Canis lupus familiaris: one gene and its partners. The protein of the gene in region 1 interacts with the protein of each later gene in a biochemical or structural test. Links are inferred from orthologs where the notes say so. Each region holds a gene or a part of one and is shown in the gene's direction. Other genes may lie near its edges.

The links.
Region 2: the proteins of RBPJ (region 1) and NOTCH1 form a complex in vitro, tested with the Homo sapiens proteins (5 studies listed by BioGRID and IntAct, with this or other methods). The link is inferred for Canis lupus familiaris from reciprocal best matches to the Homo sapiens genes RBPJ and NOTCH1.
Region 3: the proteins of RBPJ (region 1) and SPEN form a complex in vitro, tested with the Homo sapiens proteins (2 studies listed by BioGRID and IntAct). The link is inferred for Canis lupus familiaris from reciprocal best matches to the Homo sapiens genes RBPJ and SPEN.
Region 4: the proteins of RBPJ (region 1) and SNW1 form a complex in vitro, tested with the Homo sapiens proteins (2 studies listed by BioGRID). The link is inferred for Canis lupus familiaris from reciprocal best matches to the Homo sapiens genes RBPJ and SNW1.

Annotation. Positions count from the first base shown.
Region 1 is NC_049224.1:84,675,113-84,679,901, reverse strand, and holds part of RBPJ (recombining binding protein suppressor of hairless), read left to right. Parts: intron 1-3,861; coding exon 3,862-4,027; intron 4,028-4,789. UniProt on the Homo sapiens protein: Transcriptional regulator that plays a central role in Notch signaling, a signaling pathway involved in cell-cell communication that regulates a broad spectrum of cell-fate determinations.
Region 2 is NC_049230.1:48,972,349-48,977,798, forward strand, and holds the start of NOTCH1 (neurogenic locus notch homolog protein 1), read left to right. Parts: upstream 1-2,074; 5' UTR 2,075-2,128; coding exon 2,129-2,189; intron 2,190-3,807; coding exon 3,808-3,889; intron 3,890-5,450. UniProt on the Homo sapiens protein: Functions as a receptor for membrane-bound ligands Jagged-1 (JAG1), Jagged-2 (JAG2) and Delta-1 (DLL1) to regulate cell-fate determination.
Region 3 is NC_049223.1:81,177,500-81,182,288, reverse strand, and holds part of SPEN (msx2-interacting protein), read left to right. Parts: intron 1-3,478; coding exon 3,479-4,789. UniProt on the Homo sapiens protein: May serve as a nuclear matrix platform that organizes and integrates transcriptional responses. In osteoblasts, supports transcription activation: synergizes with RUNX2 to enhance FGFR2-mediated activation of the osteocalcin FGF-responsive element (OCFRE).
Region 4 is NC_049229.1:50,798,923-50,803,711, reverse strand, and holds part of SNW1 (SNW domain-containing protein 1), read left to right. Parts: intron 1-2,261; coding exon 2,262-2,358; intron 2,359-4,028; coding exon 4,029-4,146; intron 4,147-4,789. UniProt on the Homo sapiens protein: Involved in pre-mRNA splicing as component of the spliceosome. As a component of the minor spliceosome, involved in the splicing of U12-type introns in pre-mRNAs.

The DNA of each region.
Region 1 (4,789 bases):
TCAGCCCAGAGCGTGATCCTGAAGACCGAGGATCGAGTCCCGCATTGGGCTCCCTGCATGGAGTCTGCTTCTGCCTCTCTGCCTCTCTCTCTATCTGTGTCTCTCATGAATAAATAAATAAAAAATTTTTAAAAACAAAAAAAGAAAACCCGGAAGACTCCACCCCAAGATCGCTAGAACTCATACAGCAATTCGGCAGTGTGGCAGGATACAAAATCAATGCCCAGAAATCAGTGACATTTCTATACACTAACAATGAGACTGAAGAAAGAGAAATTAAGGAGTCAATCCCATTTACAGTTGCACCCAAAAGCATAAGGTACCTAGGAATAAACCTAACCAAAGAGGTAAAGGATCTCCACCCTAAAAACTACAGAACACTTCTGAAAGAAATTGAGGAAGACCCAAAGAGATGGAAAAATTTCCTTTCTTTTGTCTGTGTTCTTTTGCTGTGTGTATGCTTATCTTCTATTTAATGATGTTACTACTGAAGTCTTTGGAAATGCAAACCTGACTCATTAGCTGTTTCCTAGGGGGTGACAATATGGGGTGTTTAGAATACGGTTTTCATCAACGCATTATATAGAAATAGTCTCGATGTTTAGATTGTACTGGATTTGCTGTTTTCTTACATTGCAACTTTTTTGAATTGTTGTAGAGTTGACAAAAAACACAAGGCATTTGTGAAGTCTTTATTTTTCTTATTGGAAAGCACTTTCAATATAGAATCTTGTCTGAGTTTTAAGTGATGAAGAATTGATTGGCAACCTAATTTTATACCTTGTTTATGCCCTTTTATCACAATACTCTTGAGAAAGCCAGTACTACCCAATCTTCTACAGTTTTAACCCTCTTTATATTATTTTAGGTGTGAGATAAAAAATATCTTTTATGATAGCTTGTTGAGATTTGACTCCCATGTCTGGTACACTCTACTGAAGCACCACTCTGAATTTTATAGCTGGTATACCAGTTTACTAAGGAATTTTAATATCAGCGTTCAATAAAAAAAAAAAAAACACTAATAGGAGGCAAGTTTCTTAAATTGATGCCTTCTCAACCTCCCAATAGTGTGCCAGCTAGGTATTTGAGTCTGTGCCATGGTAAGCATTGGGAGGCTCCCAGTGTGAGAGGCCAGAAAGATCCCTGCCGTAGACTTGAATTGAGCCAACTCCAGTACTAGCCCAGCTACTCCAGGCATCCCTCCAAACTTGGAGTGACCTGGAGCTGAGCCCACTACCTCGGCTGTGACCTCTGTATCCACAGCCACAGTGAGAGTATGTAGGCATGAAAGCTGCTCTGCTGCCTTTTTATTGCTTTAGATAAATATGAGAAGACTTCAGTGGCTTCCCTCCTCACTCAGCTTGACCCCCAGGGCCTACTTCATCTTCTTCTCCATTATCTAGGCTTCATCTTCTATTCTCAACTCCAGCCACACTGGTCTGTGTTTGTTTAGACACAGTCCGTTTTAGTCCTTCCTACTGTAGAGCCTTTACACTTGATTTTCCCTCAACTGAAATACTCCTACCCCAGCTACCCATTGCTTTAGGATGTAACTCGGGCTTACCTTTTAAGGAAGCTTTCCCTGGCTACGTAGGTATTCTACATTTTAAGTACTCCTTATCTGCTTAATTTTTTCCCTCAGTACTTCTCACCAGCTAACAGAATATATAAGCTACCTTACTCAATTATGTTTTTTTTGTTTTGTTTTGTTTTTTAATTGTGTGTCGCTTCTATTAGAGTGTGAATTCCATCAGGACAGAAATTTTTGTCTTTTTTTTTTTTTTGACTCCTATATTCCCAGTGCCTCATACACTAGGGGTACAGACTAGGGGTGTAATAATGTGGTAAATTAATAAATATTACATAAACCCAGCTCACTTATAAATTAATATAAATTGCTCCTAAAGTAGTCTTTAGAGTTGAGTGAAAAGTAGTTGTTACATAGTTTTGATTCAGTTCAGTCAATATTGTAGTAGGTGCTAAGGGGGGAAACAAACAAAAAGTAGATACTAACTACCTTTAGGAAGGGCTGAGGCCAAATCCACCCTGGTGTTGTCAGTGTGTTACATACATGCACACAAATAGGCACATGTACACATTTTGTCACTTAAGCCTGCACGCTCTTGGCCTACAAAGTGTTAAAAAACATAAATTAGTGGCTAAATTTTATAAGGAACTTCATATAAAATTTAATTTCAAGCATCTGTTGAACAATCGGAGGATGTGACCAACACTAGGTCCACATGCCAGTAGTTGAGCAAACTGTGTGTTCACAGGCTTGCTATTCTGTATTGTGCCTCGTTATCATCAGAATCACACACCAATAGCTGCTTATCATTGCATTTAAGTTCTTCTTTTTCTTCTAGTAGGCTTAAAAGAAATAAAAATTTTCCTTTACTCATAACTATACAGAAAGTGGGAATTACCATCAGGACTGTGTGTTTTCAAGAAAGAAAGGAGGGAACCTACTTCTTTGTGTTATTAAAGGATATTCCTACTTATTTATTGTAGCCTGGTTCACCCACTAAATTAGTTACCTGGCTACTATTTGAGTTTACTTAGCTCCTATTTGAGTAGGTATTTGGTTTTCAGACCCGTTGATGAGACATGGTGTAAACGTTTTAAAGTATGCACAAGCCAATATGTATAATTGAGCAAAAGCAAATTATACCCTGTGTAAGGACCGGATTGATGATCTGAGCTATAAAATAGGGGCTTGAGCTAGGCTTTGAAATAGATATTTTTTAATTGCTAGAGAGAAAATAGCAGTTAACTCTTGAACTACATGGGTTCAATCTGCAGGGTCTACTTACGTGCATATTTTTTTCAATTAATACTATATATTGCAAATGTATTTTTCTTAAGATTTTCTTAGTAATATTTTCTTTTGTCTAGCTTTGTTGTGAGAATACAGCATATAATACATATAAGATACAAAGTATGTGTTGACTGTTTATGTTAATGGTAAGGCTTCCTGGTCAACAGTAGGCTATTTGTAGGCTACTGTTTTGGGGGAGTCAGAAGTTAGGCATGGATTTTTTTTTTTTTGCTGCATAGAAAGCTGGCACCCCTAACCCCCACAGTGTTCAAGGGTCAACGATATAAGGAAGTTATTCTAGGTGGGAAGAATTTTTGAAGGCAGGTTTTTTGGCAGCTAGCAAACCAAATCCGTTGGTAATCTGTGAGTTGAAAGGGTACAATGTCATTGTTCTTTCAGTCATCCACTTGCACCAGGTGTTCAGGGTGGAACATACAGAAAACATAGTAATCCAGTCATTCACTTTGTTTTTAATTTTTCTACTTTTATTAATATTTTGAAAACTTCTACTTAGGATGCTGCTCTTACTCTGTTTTCCAGGTTAATTACCAAATATAGTTAAGTGTATTAGCCCTAACAATAGTGTCCTTGATTAATAATATATCATTTTTGAGTAGACCTTAATTAATAATTGCAGATTCCGCAGTGGTGTATCATCTTCTGTAACCTTTTAGACTTCATTGGATTTGCTGAATTCCAATAGTTCAGAATTCTGAGCTCTATGAAAATTAAAGGGAGACTCCCTGCTCCAAAAAGTATTTAATGTAATTGATTGCATGATTCCAATATAGATGAACCTGCTCTGAACAAATGTAGTTTTGTGGAAGCCTTGATTTCTGTGCTCTGGACATGACTATTTGCATTTCAAAAGGCTTCACCAAAATGTTTCGTTAGGAGGTTACTTATGCAGTTCAATATAATTTTGTATTCATATGTTCAAGGAAAGGAAATATTTTTCTTGAATCTAATTGCATTTTTTTGTGTGTGGTGTGTGTGTGTGTGTATGTGTGTGTGTGTGTGTGTTTCCCCCACTGTTTCAGGTTTTTTTGCCCTCCTCCTTGTGTGTATCTTATGGGCAGTGGATGGAAGAAAAAAAAAGAACAAATGGAACGGGATGGTTGTTCTGAACAAGAGTCTCAACCATGTGCATTTATTGGAATAGGAAATAGTGACCAAGAAATGCAGCAGCTGAACTTGGAAGGAAAGGTAAATTAAAACTGTGTTGGTTCTCCTAAAAGGCACCATGGCAGCATGTGGTTTTCTTATTTGTTTTTGTGGTGGTGATTTTTTTTTCTTTTTATGGCTTTTGGTAGCAATATTCTGAACACCTTCCCACAGATACACACAGCCTCACCCATCAGAGATAAAGTTCTCAAATAGCTATGGTCTAGTAATGAGCTTGTGGACATCTAAAAGTGGCACGCGGCAAGCTTCCTCAGCTTGGGGGCAGTTTTAGCAGGCTGTGAAAAAAGTTCCATTGGAAGCCAATAATAATTGAAAAGCCTACTCTCTCATGTGTCTGACGGGTATATGAGACTCAATAAACAGTGAAAATACACAGTTCAGTAATATTTTACTCTCAGTCTTATATGGAAGCAAAGAGAGAAATTCTTAGAAGTATTTACGTGGGTTGTAAAGATTGTAAATGTCTAGCTTCTCTGTGGAACAAAACTACACTATTGACAAAAATAGCCACAATTAGCTTTACTCAGACTTTTAGGGGTTTAATTTGTTAGGAAATGGAATTTATTTATTAGTTTTATTAATTGTATTTTATTAGAAACTAATCATTTCAGTCTATACCTTTAGTATTCAAAAATAGTTCTTACTGAGTTAGCATTTAACTATTATTTTTTCCCTTAATATTAAAATTCGAAAAATGGTTTGTTCTCAACGATCATATGACTCTCCTTTAAAATAATACAAAAGAAGCTATTTCCTCATTCAGTAAATCTTCACTGACTATCT
Region 2 (5,450 bases), on another chromosome or scaffold:
CTGGCAAGCCCGGCTGTCCTGTCCACCATGGGCTAATGAGAGCACCCAGCTCCCGGGTGAGGCCCAGAGCAGAGCTGGCACAGCTTGGCAGACCCAGGTAAGGCTCCCCTCCCCCAGGACTTCCCCTCCCCTCCTCCCTCCAGGGCTCCCTCCTCCCCTCTCTCCAGAGCTGTTCCAAGGCAGGAAGGTGAAAACCTGCTCCCAAGCCAGGGCTGAACCTTTGGCCTGGAGCCTGTTGGCAGAATGCAGGCCCCCAGTGGAGGGCACTTGAGCAGCCTGGAGGAGCACCCCCCAGCCTGAGGCCTTCAGTCCTTCCCCAAGAGTAGACAGGGATGTAGTGGGTAGAGCCCTGAGTCTATGAGCTGGGACGGGAGGATAGGGATGGACTGCAGCCATCCTCTTCCTTGTAGGGATAATGTGCTCCTCCAGGCTGCCAGGCTGCTGTTATATAAACATCTCTGCAGCCTCCAGGCGCCTCAGGTCACGGGCACTGGCCGAGAGAGAAGTCACCCCAGGCTCTGCACTGTGCAGCCAGCTTCTGGAAGGAGGCAGACAGCTGTCTTGGCCTGGCCTGGCTGGCCCTCTGGCACTCACAGCATCCCAGCCACCACCAGCGCTCCAGGACAGGTGTGCCAAGAAGAGTGGGCAGGAGTCAGGTGTGAAATCTGCCCACCACCGGGCATCCCACTCTACCTACATCGCAAGTCTCCCTGCAAGGCGACTGCGCTACCAGCCTCTAGGCTCCGCAGTCCTGCAGGTGCTCTGGCCTGCCGCCCTTCACACAGCCAGGTCCCTCTCAGCCTGGCATCACCCACTCCAGAGGGCCGTGGGCATGCGCGGCTGGGTGGTTGTACCTCCTCCCACGGTGCTGACCAACCTTTGTTGGGATGGGGGTGTCTGTCCCCAGGGCCAGGCCATGAACTTTGGTTTCAGCAGGGGCCGTGGCAGGCATCTGGAATGCCCAGAGCTTAACCCCACTTGGCACAGGATGCCCAAATCTGGCATCGTGGCGGAGAAATAAATCATCCGGAAGGAGCACGTGGGAGGGGCCCAGGGCTGCCCTGGGGCTCGCAGAGGGTCTGCTGGACTCGTGTGCTTGCCGGGCATCTGAAAGGGAGGCGCCTGAAGAAGGGGCTGGTCAGCGAGCAAGAGCGTCTGGAGGCGGGTCCCTCCTGGGGGAGTAGTAGCAGCGCAGTCCGTTGGGCAGCCGTTGGCCCCAGGTGGTTTCACTGGGGCACCCAGCGCTCTCCAGAAACAGAGGCCCCGGCGCCGCCATCCCTGGGGGTCAAGTGCCCGGCCTGTCTCCTGGAGGCTCGCCACGGGGACCTGAGCCCCTGGGTCGGGGGCTTCCCTACGGCCGGGGGGGCACGAGTCCTCCCCGAGCTCCAGTCACGGCCCCGGGTCCCCCACAGGCCTTGGCCGCTCCTCCAGCTCCTCAGCCGCGCACGTACCCTTAGGCCCCACTCGCCCCACTCAGCTCGCACCTCCTCGGCTATTGAGATGCAAATCTTTGTCAATTGTCGCCGAGCGCGGCGTAAGTCAGAGGCGGATCCTTCCGCAGTCCTGAACCAAACTTTTTGCCGCTGAAAACTTTCGAACAAGAAGTAGTCCCTAGGTCCGACCTCCGACGCCCCTTCGCCCCGCCGCGGCCCCCGGCCCCCGGGGGCCCGGGCGTCCGAGGCGCGCCCAGCTGCGGGGAGACGCGGGGAGGTCGCGGGGCACGCAGGGGCGCAGCCGGCGAGGGCGAGGGCGAGGGGTGCGGAGGGATCGGCAGGGCGGGCCCGAGGGGCGGGGCCGGAGGGGGGGCGGAGCGCACCGCGGCCTGCGCCTCACTAGTGCCTCGGCCGCGGGAGGGAGCGCAGGGGCGCGGGGCGCGGGCACGGGCGCGAGCGCAGCGGAGGAACGAGCCGGGGCGCGAGCCGGGCCCGAGGCCGCGAGGGCCCCGCGTCGCCCGCCCGCCCGCCCGCCCGCCGGGAAGCCGGGAGCCGCCGCCGCCGCCGCCGCCGCCGCCGCCGCCGCCGCCGCCGCCACCGCCGCTCGTGGGACCGTCCGGCGCGCCCCGTGCGCGGCAGCCCCGCTGTCCCGGCTCGGGAGGCCGCCGCGGGCAGCGGGCAGCGGGCGGGCAGGCATGCCGCCGCTCCTGCCTCCCCTGCTCTGCCTGGCGCTGCTGCCCGCGCTCGCCGCACGAGGTAGGCGCCCGCCCGCGAGCCCGCAACTTTCTGCGCCCTCCGGAAACTTTGGCGGCGCCTACGCGCGCGCCCCGGCCGGCCCGGAGCCGGCGGCAGGGGCGGGAGAGGGGCGCGGGGCGACCCCGGGCGCAGGAGAAGGACCGACGGGAAGGGCTCGCGCCGCCCGCGCGCGGAGCCGGTGTGAAGGAAGCCGGGCGCGGGGCGCTCGGAGCGCCTGGGACCCCGGCGGGCCCAGCCCTGGGCTCGCCCTCCGTCAGCCACGCGTGGGGCTTGCCGCCGGGGCAGGCGGGCTGGCTGCCTACTCCTTTTCGATTTGAATCGAGTCGGTTTTGGTTTCCTGTTGCTTTGGGGACCATTTATCTTTTTCGTCGCCTCTGGCCCGCGCCGGGGGCGGATGCCGGGCGCGGATGCCGGGCGCGGAGCGTGGGGTCCAGGCGCGGCGCTGCCCTTACGGAGCAATGCGGGGCGGGTGGGGCCGGGCGGCCTCAGCGCTCGGGAGGGCTGGCGAGGGAAGGACGCAGCACCCCCTTCCCACGTCCGATCGCCACCCCCGTCCCCGCTCCCATGCAGCTTGCCGGTGGGGGGGGGGGTGCGGGGTGCGGAACACCCAGCCCCTACCGGCCTGACTTTCACTTTGCGGAGTTCAAGTTTAGAAATGTAGCGAGGGCTGAGAGGCCGTGGAGAAGGAACGCTTCTCTCTCCACTTCACATCAGGGATCCGGTGGTGACTGAGTCCTCTCTTCCCCTGAAAGTTCGTGGGGAGAATTAGCTCCCTGCTTCCAGAAGGTGGGGTTCCAAGTCACATCCCGTACCTGCACCCCCCCCCCCAAGGGGCTTAATTCACAGGTCGCTGGTACCACGGGGAGGGAACGACTGGATTAATCCCTTCTTGGGAATGGGGTCGAATTCTTTCCAAATAGGGCATCTCCATCCTCCTCCCCTGGGTGTATCTGGGGGTGACCGACGCAGAGCAGGTATTGGGTGTCCTGGAGGCGGCTCCGGGTCCCCGAGGTGCAGCCCCACTGCCCCAGGAGGCGGCCCTGTTGACAATGGGCTGCTCTGATTCCGAGGCTGGCGCTTTTTCGGCGGGCGGGGCGTTGAGCTTTGCAGCTGTCGCCTTTTCCCACGAGCTGGGGTGGGGGGCAGTGTGGCCACCCCACCCCTCAGCACCGCCCCCTCCCAGAACATGTTTGAACTGCAAGACAATCTTGGTGGCTGGATAGGGGCCCCAGCCCAGTTGGGCTCCCCGTTGAAGATGGGTTGGGGGTGCAGAGTTTGGAAGAGTGGCCCAGGGACATCTCAGATTCCCTTCATTGTTGTCCAGATGGCATTTCAGGCCTCCTTGGCCCATATGGAGCATGACCTGTCCACCTGCCACCCTGCCAACCTGTTGCCCTCCCCCCCCCCGCCCCGTTTCTGACTACAGAACTCTGGGCAGAATGTGGAAGCCCTTTGGGGTCCCCATTTGGGAGGGTTCCTGAGGTCCCCTGCCCCCAGCAACCCCGTGATGAGGCAGAGCTGTCTAGGTGAGGGGCTGCTGTACCCCTTGGGGTGGGCCTTTCCCTGGGCTGAGGGCCCTTGTGCCACCCAGGCTGATCTCTTGCCTCGCCCCTCCCAGGTCTGCGATGTTCCCAGCCCAGTGAGAGCTGCTTGAATGGCGGGAAGTGTGAAGTGTTCCTCAACGGCACAGAAGCCTGTGTGTGAGTACGCACCCCTGCGCCCCTGTGGGGACCTGTTGCTTTTGTCGGGAGCAGAGCCCCTGCCTTCTGCAGCAGGGGCCAGCAGGGACAGAACACTAGGCCATTGTCTTCTGGAGATGGCCCAGAAGGCTGGGCGCGGTCACGTGCTACTTTTATTGGACAAAGTCTGGCAATTACTTAATCACCAGCAATTATGCTGCGTGTGGAGCTGGTCTGGCCGCTGGAGGTTCGAGCACGCCTTGTGCACCACCTTGGACTCCTGGGGTGCTAGGTGGGGATTCCCAGTACCCCGTTTCTTCCTAAAGTCTCTGAGAAACGACTGCCCTGCCAGGGGAGGCTGTGGACCTTTAGAGAAGCCCTGCCCATAGGGGTGCCTCCCGAAGATCAGCCAGTGCTGACCCTCACAGAAATGGGCTGTTTCAGCCCCACCCCTCTGGGCCCTCTGCGGCCTCTAGCACCCCCTCTCCAACCTCAGGTGAGGTTGGGGAACTCTTCGGGAGCCCATCTCATAGGTTAGGGGTGGGTGGGAGTGTACCTGCCAGAGCTTGGTCTTTGTCTTGGCATCTGTAGCTTCAGCCCTGCTGCCATCCGGCCCATCACCTGCTGGGCTGGTCCGCAGCTGGAGTGGGAATGTGTGTGTCCTGCGGGGGCGCCCCCGCCTCGGGCGGGGAGTCCTGTTAGAGTCCGCACCCTGCCTGCCCATGCACCCTCGCCTGTGTGCCCTGCCTGCCCCTGCGCAGCGGCCTCACCAAAGTTTTTCTGTTGTGGCTGGTGCCCTTCAGCTTGACTTCTTCCTTGATGGGACTATGAGGTGGTGCTTGGTGGCTGGAAAAAGGTCCCCTCCTCCCGCCGGGGCGCAGGGCGGGGGTGGGGGTGGGGGGCACAAAGGAAGCAAGGGCTCCCCAGCCGGTCCTGGGTCCTCCTCAGCGTGCTGCATTCCCACTGCCGAGGGCCCCTTCCCTTGACAACCCTTGGCCCGTGGGCAGGCAGCCCCTCCTTCGCTGCCCCCACCCTCCCCAAACTGAAGCCAATTAAACAGGTCTGTGAGCAGTTTAATAGACAAAGAGGATTGTGTCTTTGTCAGACGCTAATGAATGCACACTACTTTTTTTTTTTTTTTTTTTTTTTTTTGCTTTTTTGGGGCCTTTTTCTTTTCCTCCAGAAGCCTCACCGACGCTTGATGCCCTAAATCTTGTTTCCTTTCATTCAGAGACCGACAGCTGGGATTCAGGGGAAGCGCAGCGGCTATTGTTGGGAGGCGGATTAATGCCGTGTGATTAATTATGCGTGGCTTCCCAGAATGCACGACTCCCTTCCCGCCGGCCCTGTGCCTGCTCTGGCTGCCCGCTCACCCATGGGGCGTGGGGGGGGTCTCTGTACTTCTGCCGAGCGCTTTGGGAAGGCAGGAGGGGTGCTGTGCTGGGGAGGGTGGGAGTGGTCTCCTATCTCTGCCACCGAGGAGGAGCAGGGACAGCCCAGCCCCAGGGGACACTGGGGTGTCTGGGGGCTGAGCCTGGGCTACAAGGGGATGCCTTGGGGTGCAGGCTATTGCAGCCCCCTC
Region 3 (4,789 bases), on another chromosome or scaffold:
AGGAGTTGAGGTATTGTGTAGTCATGTGAATAGTTATCTCAAAACTTGTCCTTTCTAGGTTCTTTGGAGACCCTTTTGTCCATGGTACCAGTGTGCAGTTGTACTGTCTATCCTGCTTGAGTTGCATTCTTTGGGAACAGGAACACTCATTTCTTTTGGTAGTCAGAGGGCCCACCAAAATATGTGCAGAATCAGTATTTATTAAACTGAACAGAGCTCTAGCACTAATGTTTATGCATATACCTTTGATTTATGTAACTTTTTCATATTTGGGGGCATAGTTTTAGTTTGATTAATCTAAAACATAACCTTGACTCTTTTTACAGTATGACTTTAAGCTTACTGTTAAATATCTTTTTTTTTTTTTTTAAGATTTTATTTATTTGACAGCACAAGCAGGGAGCAGCAGGCAGAGGGAGAGGGAGAAGCAGGCTCCCCACTGAGCAGGGATTCCCCATGTGGAACTCGATCCCAGGATCCTGGGATTATGACCTGAGCTGAGGGCAGATGTTTAACCAACTGAGCCACCCAGTTGCCCCAAGCCTACTTTCAATGTGGGAAGTGAACCGGTGACCATTCTAGATGTCTTAATTTATATTGGAAAGCATACAGTATGTTTACCTTTATGTATGAAAAGTTGCTTCCTTGGAATTTGTATTTATGGTGGCAATGAATTAGCCAAGTTCCATGCTTTGAAACATTTATTTTAAGGTGGCTGGCCATTATTTAGGCAAAGAATCTGATTCCTGTGGAACTCTAGAAAGATCATCTTGAATCCAATTAAACAAAATAATATAGATATTCTCATAAAATATTCTCTCTAAACTGAGAAATTCCGTATAAATACATATAACAGTGTGTTATTGATGCTTCCAGTGTTTGAATGTTAAACCTTAGATGCTTCATTTGCTGTAGAGAGAGAGTTAGAACATCACCCAGTAGTAGCTTTGACATATTTATTTTTCTTCTTTATTCCTTTCCTTTCTCCTTTCCTTTCTCCTTTCCTTTCCTTTCCTTTCCTTTCCTTTCCTTTCTCCTTCCTTCCTTCCTTCCTTCCTTCCTTCCTTCCTTCCTTCCTTCCTTCCATTTTTCTTTTCCTTATTTATTTATTAAATTTTTTTGGTATATATATATATTTTTTTTTTTTTTTTAAGATTTTATTTATTTATTCATAAGAAACACAGAGAGAGATTGAGAGAGGCAGAGACACAGGCAGAGGGAGAAGCAGGCTCCATGCAGGGAGCCTGAATGGGACTCAATCCCAGGACTCCAGGATCACTCCCTGAGACGAAGGCAGGCGCTTTAACCGCTGAGCCACCGAGGGTCCCTGGTATATTTTTTTATTGGAGTTTGCTTTGCCAACATATAGCATAACACCCAGTGCTCATCCCATCAAGTGCCCCACTCAGTGCCCGTCACCCAGTCACCCATCCCCCTGCCCGCCTCCCCTTCCACCACCCCTTGTTCGTTTCCCAGAGTTAGGAGTCTGTCATCCTCTGACTTTATTTATTTGAGAGAGAGAGAGCATGAGCAGGTGGGAGACAGAGGGAGAAGAAGGAGGAGCTCCCTACTGAGCATGGAGCCCGTTGCGGGGCTCAGTCTCAGGACCCTGAGATCATGACCTAACCTGAATGCAGAGACTTAACTGAGCTACCAGGCACCCCTGACATATTTTCCTAAGATTCATTCTTTCAACAGGTACTTGAGTGCTTCCTCTGAGACCGTTACAAGAAGACCAAAACAAAACAAAACAAAACAAAAAAACCACCTCATTCCTTTAGGGGCTTAAGTTCTAGATTTGTTTATGTTTTAGTAAGCCACTAAAGGTAGTACTGTTTGGCAAATTGAACTCCAATAAAAATAAAATAAAAATAAAAAAGGCAGTACTGTGTAGAATGTATGACCTGCTTGAGGGAACAAAAATGGACAATGAATGAGAGTGAAAGAATTGTCCTTTGTTACAGGTAAATTTCATTTTATCCCTCATACATGTTCTTTTTTTAAAATATTTTTTATTTATTAATGAGAGACACTAGAGAGAGAAAGAGAGGCAGAGACACAGGCAGAGGGAGAAGCAGGTTCCATGCAGGGAGCCTGATGTGGGACTTGATCCTGGGGCTCCAGGATCACGCCCTGGGTCAAAGGCAGGTGCTAAACCACTGAGCCACCCAGGAATCCCCCCTCATACATGTTCTTGTGTGTAAATTAAATCCTATCTTGAATGCCCTGGATAGGTCACTATCAAAGAAAACCATGCTGAATTCCTTTACAATTGAGGAATCTCACACAAAGCCTGTGTTCAGTTGGTGGTTGGGGAAAAGTAACATTACTAAAGGCCAAGTATGTGCCTTGCATTTTGTCAGGAAAGTTCTTAAAACTGTTACCTTATATAATCTTCTTAAGAGCCTTATGAGGAAAGTTTACCACCATTTTATAAGGGAGACTGACTTCCAACATTTTTTTTGAATTGTGATAGAGGTGTTACCAATGTTATATGGGTCATGTAGGTAGGAGGATTTCAGTTAGATTATTCTCTTTCCCAATAATACATTTGTTTCCCAAGTTGTGGTAAAAAATCTTTTGGCAGAAAAGTAATTATGAAAGACTTACGAATGTGGGGATATGATACCGTTTAATACTAGTGCTTATTATAAGTCATGATACTTCAACCTAAAGAATAAAGAAGGGCTGAAGTGCTGTCCAGTAGAAACATAATGCAAACTAAATTTGTGGTTTTAAATATCCTAGGGCAGCCCCGGTAGCATAGTGGTTTAGCGCCGCCTGCAGCCCAGGGTGTGATCCTGGAGACCCAGGATCGAGTCCCATGTCGGGCCCCCTGCATGGAGCCTGCTTCTCCCTCTGCCTGTGTCTCTGTCTCTTTCTCTATCTGAATGAACGAATGAGTAAATTATAAAAAAATGAATAAATAAATAAGTGAATATCCTAGTAGACACAGTAAAAAAGTGAAAAGGTAAAATTAATTTTATTTAACTCAGTATGTCTAAAATGTTATTTCAGCATATAACCAATCTAAATATATTAAAGTATTTCTTTTTTTAAAATTAAATCTACCAAGTCCAGTGTGTATTCTGTATTCACATCTCAAATTTCAAGTTCTCAATAGCCACATGTGGGTTGTGGCTACGGATAGTATTGGACAGTCCACATCTAATGAGTAAACAATGGCAAAGAGTTTTATTTTACTTTTATTTATTTTTAAAGATTTTATTTATTTATTTCATAGGAACACGAGAGCATGAACAGGGGAGGGGTCAGAGGTAGAGGGAAAAGTAGGCTCCCTGCTCGATCCCAGGACCCTGAGATCATGACCTGAGCCCAAGGCAGATGCTTAACCGACTGAGCCACTCAGACACCCAAGATTTTTAGAAGCAGGACTTCGTTAATCTCATGTGTGTGGTTTAATATGTCAGTGACAAGGAAACAAAACAACTAATACATTCTTTTTCATATTTCATAGAGAGGAACGAAGGGGATCTTATGACTATAGCCAAGATCGTACATATTATGAGAATGTTCGTACTCCAGGCACATATCCTGAGGACTCCAGACGGGACTATCCAGCCCGAGGGAGAGAATTTTATTCAGAATGGGAAACTTACCAAGGAGACTACTATGAATCACGATACTATGACGATCCTCGGGAATATAGGGATTACAGAAACGATCCTTATGAACAAGATATTCGGGAGTACAGTTACAGGCAAAGGGAACGAGAGAGAGAACGTGAAAGGTTTGAGTCTGATCGGGACAGAGACCATGAGAGGAGGCCAATTGAGCGCAGTCAGAGCCCAGTGCACTTGCGACGCCCACAGAGTCCTGGAGCATCTCCCTCACAGTCTGAGCGGTTGCCAAGTGATTCTGAAAGGAGGATTTATAGCCGGTCCTCGGACCGGAGTGGGAGCTGTAGCTCACTTTCTCCTCCAAGATATGATAAACTTGACAAATCTCGTTTGGAACGCTATACAAAAAATGAAAAGACAGATAAAGAAAGGACTTTTGATCCTGAGAGAGTGGAAAGAGAAAGACGCTTAATAAGGAAGGAAAAAGTAGAAAAGGATAAAACTGAAAAGCAGAAACGAAAAGGAAAAGTTCATTCCCCTAGTTCTCAGTCTTCAGAGACAGACCAAGAAAATGAGCGAGAACAGAGCCCTGAAAAATCACGGAGTTCTAATAAACTGAGCAGAGAGAAAGCTGACAAAGAAGGAATAGCAAAAAACCGTCTGGAGCTTATGCCCTGTGTGGTTTTGACTCGAGTGAAAGAGAAAGAGGGGAAAGTTATTGACCACACTCCTTTGGAAAAGCTGAAAGCCAAGCTTGATAATGACACTGCCAAGTCTTCTGTCCTAGATCAGAAACTTCAGGTCTGTCAAACGGAACCTGCAAAATCTGACTTGTCTAAACTGGAATCTATTCGAATGAAAGTGCCAAAGGAAAAGGGACTGTCAAGCCACATAGAAGTGGTTGATAAGGAAGGTAGGCCTAAGCCCAGGAAGCACCTAAAACCAGAGCAGACTGCTGACGGGGTCAGTGCAGCAGATCTGGAGAAGCTGGAAGCAAGGAAGAGGCGTTTTGCAGATTCTAATCTGAAAGCAGAAAGGCAAAAATCAGAAGTCAAGAAAAGTAGTCCAGAGATGGAGGAGGCTCGGGTACTTTTAAAAAAGCAGCCTGACCTATCATCTAGAGATGTCATTCTGCTGAGGGAAGGAGAGTCGGAAAGAAAACCTGTGAGGAAAGAAATTCTTAAACGAGAATCTAAAAAAATCAAACT
Region 4 (4,789 bases), on another chromosome or scaffold:
AGGGTCCCCGACATGGGACTCGATCCCAGGTCTCCAGGATCAGGCCCTGGGCCAAAGGTGGCGCTAAACCGCTGAGCCACCGGAACTGCCCAAGGTTCTCTTCTAGACATAAGGATTTCTGTTGTTGGAGGTATGGCAATAAACATTCTAGTGAGTGTAGAGAGACCAAAAAAGTTAATTATCATTACTAGATGATTAATAATAATAGTATAGTAATAATTGCTATGGAGACAAATAAAACAAGAAAAAGGGACAAAAGTGCCAGGAGAGGGTCAAGATGAACCTTACTTCTGAGATGGTAACATTAGCACAAAAATTGAAGTAAGGAATTGAGCCTTATAGATATCTAGGGTTTTGAAGAGCATCCCAGATAGAAGGAACAGCAAGTGCAAGGGCCCTGAGTTGGGAGTACTCTTGGTATGTTAAAGGAAAAGCAGGGAGGCCAGTACAGCCAGATTGGAGCAAGAAAGCTAAGTAGTAGGAGACAAGGTATCAAAATAGAGTAAATAGGAAAGGTAGTAGCCAGATCATGTGTGGTCTTTTAGCCATTTAAGGAGGTGGCTTTTATTTCAAATAACAAGGGAAGAAGTTGAAGAGTTAAGCAGAACAACATGATCTACCATACATGAGCAGGCTGTGAAGTGGGCATGTGGGGGAGTAGGGAAGTCATTTGGAGGGCTAGTGCAGTAATCCAGATGAGAGATGATAATAAGAGAGGCAGGGAAAACACTGCCAAATACAGATGTATTTTGCAGGGAGAGCTGACAAAATTTGCTTATGGATTAGGTAGAGGTATGAAAAAAAAGAGTCAAGGATGACTCCAGAACTTTCTTTTTTAACTCCAGGACTTTTGACATGAGCAATTAGGAGGCATTAAGTTGCTATTTACTAATAGTGGGAAGATTGCAGGGGAAGCAGTTTGGGAGGAAAAGATTAGGAGTTTAGTTAGGTTTAAGGTGGAGGTATCAAGTAGGCATTTGGTTAGAGGAGTCCAGAGTTCAGCTATAGGGAGGTAACCAGGATTAGAAGTAGTGATCCATATCCTTGAATCATACATAAATGACTTAATGAGGCAAGTTATAAAAACCTGCCTATTGTACATACACTTAGCCACTGATGGTAATTAGAAGTAAGATTTCCCTATATCTTAGTCTCTACACTGGTAAGAAAAAAAAAAAAACAAAAATACAGAATGGCTCTTGAGGAATTAGGTAAAATTCTGAAAAATGTGTTGCCAGATAGTAAAAAGAACTAATGTTTATTGAGTACTTATTATGAAAGACACCACTCTGAGCACTTTACATGTATTGCCTTATGTAATCCCTCTAGTAACCCCTCACAGTGGTTCTAGGATTGTCAGTTTTTCAGAGGAGACTAAGGCTCAGAGTGGTTGGGTAACCTGCACAAGGTCACATGGCTAATCTGTCATAGGAACAGGATTTGAATCCAGACAAGCTGGCTCCAAAGCTGTGTCCCTTCAGATTGGAGAGAGAAGAGAAAATGAAGATAGACATAAACACAATAGGTAGAGATCAAGATGTAACCAGTCCCTGTGTACCACCAGCAAAAGGTTCTTTATTCATTTGGTCTTTGAAAATATAAGGGTAAATTTACACATAATTTTTTCCTGAAATTTTAATATGACCATTACACACCAAAAAGTTGAAAAAATTATACAAGGAACACCTTTCTATCTCCACCACCACCCAGATTCTACTAGATTCCACCACCTAGATTAACTTTTCTTTTAACAATTGACATTGCTAGGGATGCCTGAGTAGCTCAGCAGTTGGGCATCTACCTTCAGCCCAGGGTGTGATCCTGGAGTCCCAGGATGAGTCCCACATCGGACTCCCTGCATGGAGCCTGTTTCTCCCTCTGCCTGTGCCTCTGCCTCTCTCTTTCTCTCTGTCATGAATAAATAAAATCTTAAAAAAACAAAAAAACAATTGACATTGTTAAATTTATTTTATCACCTATCTGCTAATCTCTCTATCCACCTTACAGTTTTGATGCATTGCAAAGTCAAAGTCATCAGTATACTTTACCTCTAAACATTTGAGCTGCATGCATGATTCTGGAATTCATATTCAAAAATTAAACCAATACTGTTGGATTTAAGTTAATTGCAAGTGAGTTAAAAGGGCTGAATGTGACTATAAAGAAATTTATGGAATTATCGGTCATGGTTAAAGAATATTTTCATTCTAAATATTAATGCGTAATATAGTGATGAGGAATTTTCAACTCTGTTTACACAGAGGATGGGGAGGCACGTGAGAGGGATGAAATCCGGCATGACAGGCGAAAAGAGAGACAACACGACCGGAATCTTTCCAGGGCAGCTCCTGATAAGCGGTAGGTGCTATTTGAGATAAATACAAATTGTGAGGAGTGGCTCTGTGAATCCTTTTGAGAAGAGGTTTAGTCCACTGGGACCAGTTTTGCTTCTCTCCCTTTCCTCTCTTAATTTGATAATCTACTAAATCAGCACTTACTTTCCTACACTAAACTACTTATTTTTTCTTAGCAGAAGAATTAACTCCCTGGAAGAAATCCTTTCTCATCACCTTGTAGAGTCAGCTAGATTGCGAATGATAGGAATATAGAAAAGGGAATTCAGATCTTGTTTATGAAAAGAAGGCAGTAGGTAGGCTTGTTCTGGTCTGTTCTTTCCTATTTCAAGTGGTAGGACAAACTGATTATGTGCGTATTCCTCTAGACAGGGAAGAAGCTTCTGTACCTGCATTGAGATCCTCTTATATGCAGAGGGCTGTCCCAAGTACAGTGGAGGAGGAGAGCAGGTTTTGTGAGAAGTGAGAATTGGCCTCTTCTCATAAGTAGTTCTCTTAAAATTCAGAAAGACAAAGCTTATAAAATTATTTGAGAATATTAACAAAGCACTGCTAATAAGTACAGGCCTGCTTGGAACAAACAAAATACATGTATGGGGACTCACACTAAAGTAGGGATTGGTAAAGTTTATGCTTCACCAAAGGCTGAGCGCTGAATTCTGAGTGAGTGTTAAATGCAAATATAAAACATTTTCTTTCTCATCACTTTGGTGGCTGATACAATCCATTTTTTCAAGTTATGTCTTAAACATTGAAAAAGAAGATTCCTGCCAGTATTGTTTTTTAATGGCATAGCTCATCTCCCTGGATAAGTGAAACCATGGAGAAGCAGAAAATCTGAATTTAGAATTGTAGGTAAATGTGCAGTGTAGAAGAGAGAGGAATGAAATGTGAAAGTGCACAATTAAAGATACTAATGGTCTGAAATTCCTAAGCTGTAAAAGTCAAAATGGCTCTGTAGATAAATTGGGCCCTTAAAACTAGTAAAGTGGTTATGAGAATTGATAATGTAGAAAAGCTGTAAATTTGTGATTGGATGAAAATCTGGTCGTCTATAGAAAATATTTTAAGACCTGGGTTTCTGGTAAAATAAATGATGACAGTTACCATGGTTTCACTGCGATGTAGATTGCATACATACTGAAACAGCAGGGGAATTAAGATAATCTGAATATTGAAAATCATACTGAGTAATTCAGTCATTGACATGTTTTCCTCAAAATTCTAATAGGGTAAAATTACTAAATGTGGTTTAGGTAAAGAACAGAATTTGGCTTATTGAAAGTGATTCATATACGTCTAATTTGCATCCATTCCCTCCCCCCGCAACCATCATGTAATAGCAAATACAGACCGTAGCAATTTCATATCTCAGCATGCTCTTTCTGTAAGGTGATTGCTTATATTAAAAACTTCATGTCAAGAGTGAGTCTCTTGACAGTTCTTTTCAGCTAACAGGAAGGCCTGATTGTAAAACCCCACCTCTTCTAATAATTCTGTCTCTGAGATGCTGTAAGGACTACCAGCCTGATTATGCATTATCAAGGAATATATGTTCACAAGATATGAACAGGACATACTCATTAACTTTGCTTCTAAGATTGGTTGTATTTAAATTGAAATTCGGCTTGTCTGTGAAGAGTTTTCAGTTAGTGATATTGTATTTTGAAACAGGTCAAAACTACAGAGAAATGAAAATCGAGATATCAGTGAAGTCATTGCTCTTGGTGTGCCCAATCCGCGGACGTCCAATGAAGTTCAGTATGACCAAAGGCTCTTCAACCAGTCGAAGGTATAAGGAGTTTAGAAATAGCAGGTCTTAGTTAATGTGATTTAATCCTCAGGGAAAAGAAAATTCACATACCATAGATTTGGATCAGCCTAAAATATGCTGGCATGAGAGGGAAAAATTAGAAGTTGTGTGATGTAACTTACAGAACCATTTTATCTTATTTCGTCATATCTAAGGGTAAACAGTTCTGATTTTGACCTCTTACAGTTGGCTAAAATTTAAGACACTATTAGAAAATGAAAGAAATATGTGACAAAATTTGATTTGGGTATATAAGTCTTATTTATAAGGTAGAGCCAGTGTCCTACAGAAGTATCTCTTGGGTTTCTTGTTAATCTTTGAAAAAAAAATGTAATGCTAAAGAAACATAACTTGAGATCTTTAAAAGATGAAGCTGTAAAACTAAATTTAAGTGCTAGACTAGTTTGTCAGGAAATCTGATTTCAAGTACCTATTGTTATGAACTAGCTAGGACACATTAGGCCTGAAAAAGTGCTTTTATGTGTTAATCCACCCAACATTGATTGCATACTATGCATAAGACAGTGAGATCAAAGATAGATGTACTTTTGCTGTGAAGGAGCCTTCAAGTCTACTGGAAAAGACATGTGTATAAATAAGGACAAGGCAGACTGCAATAATG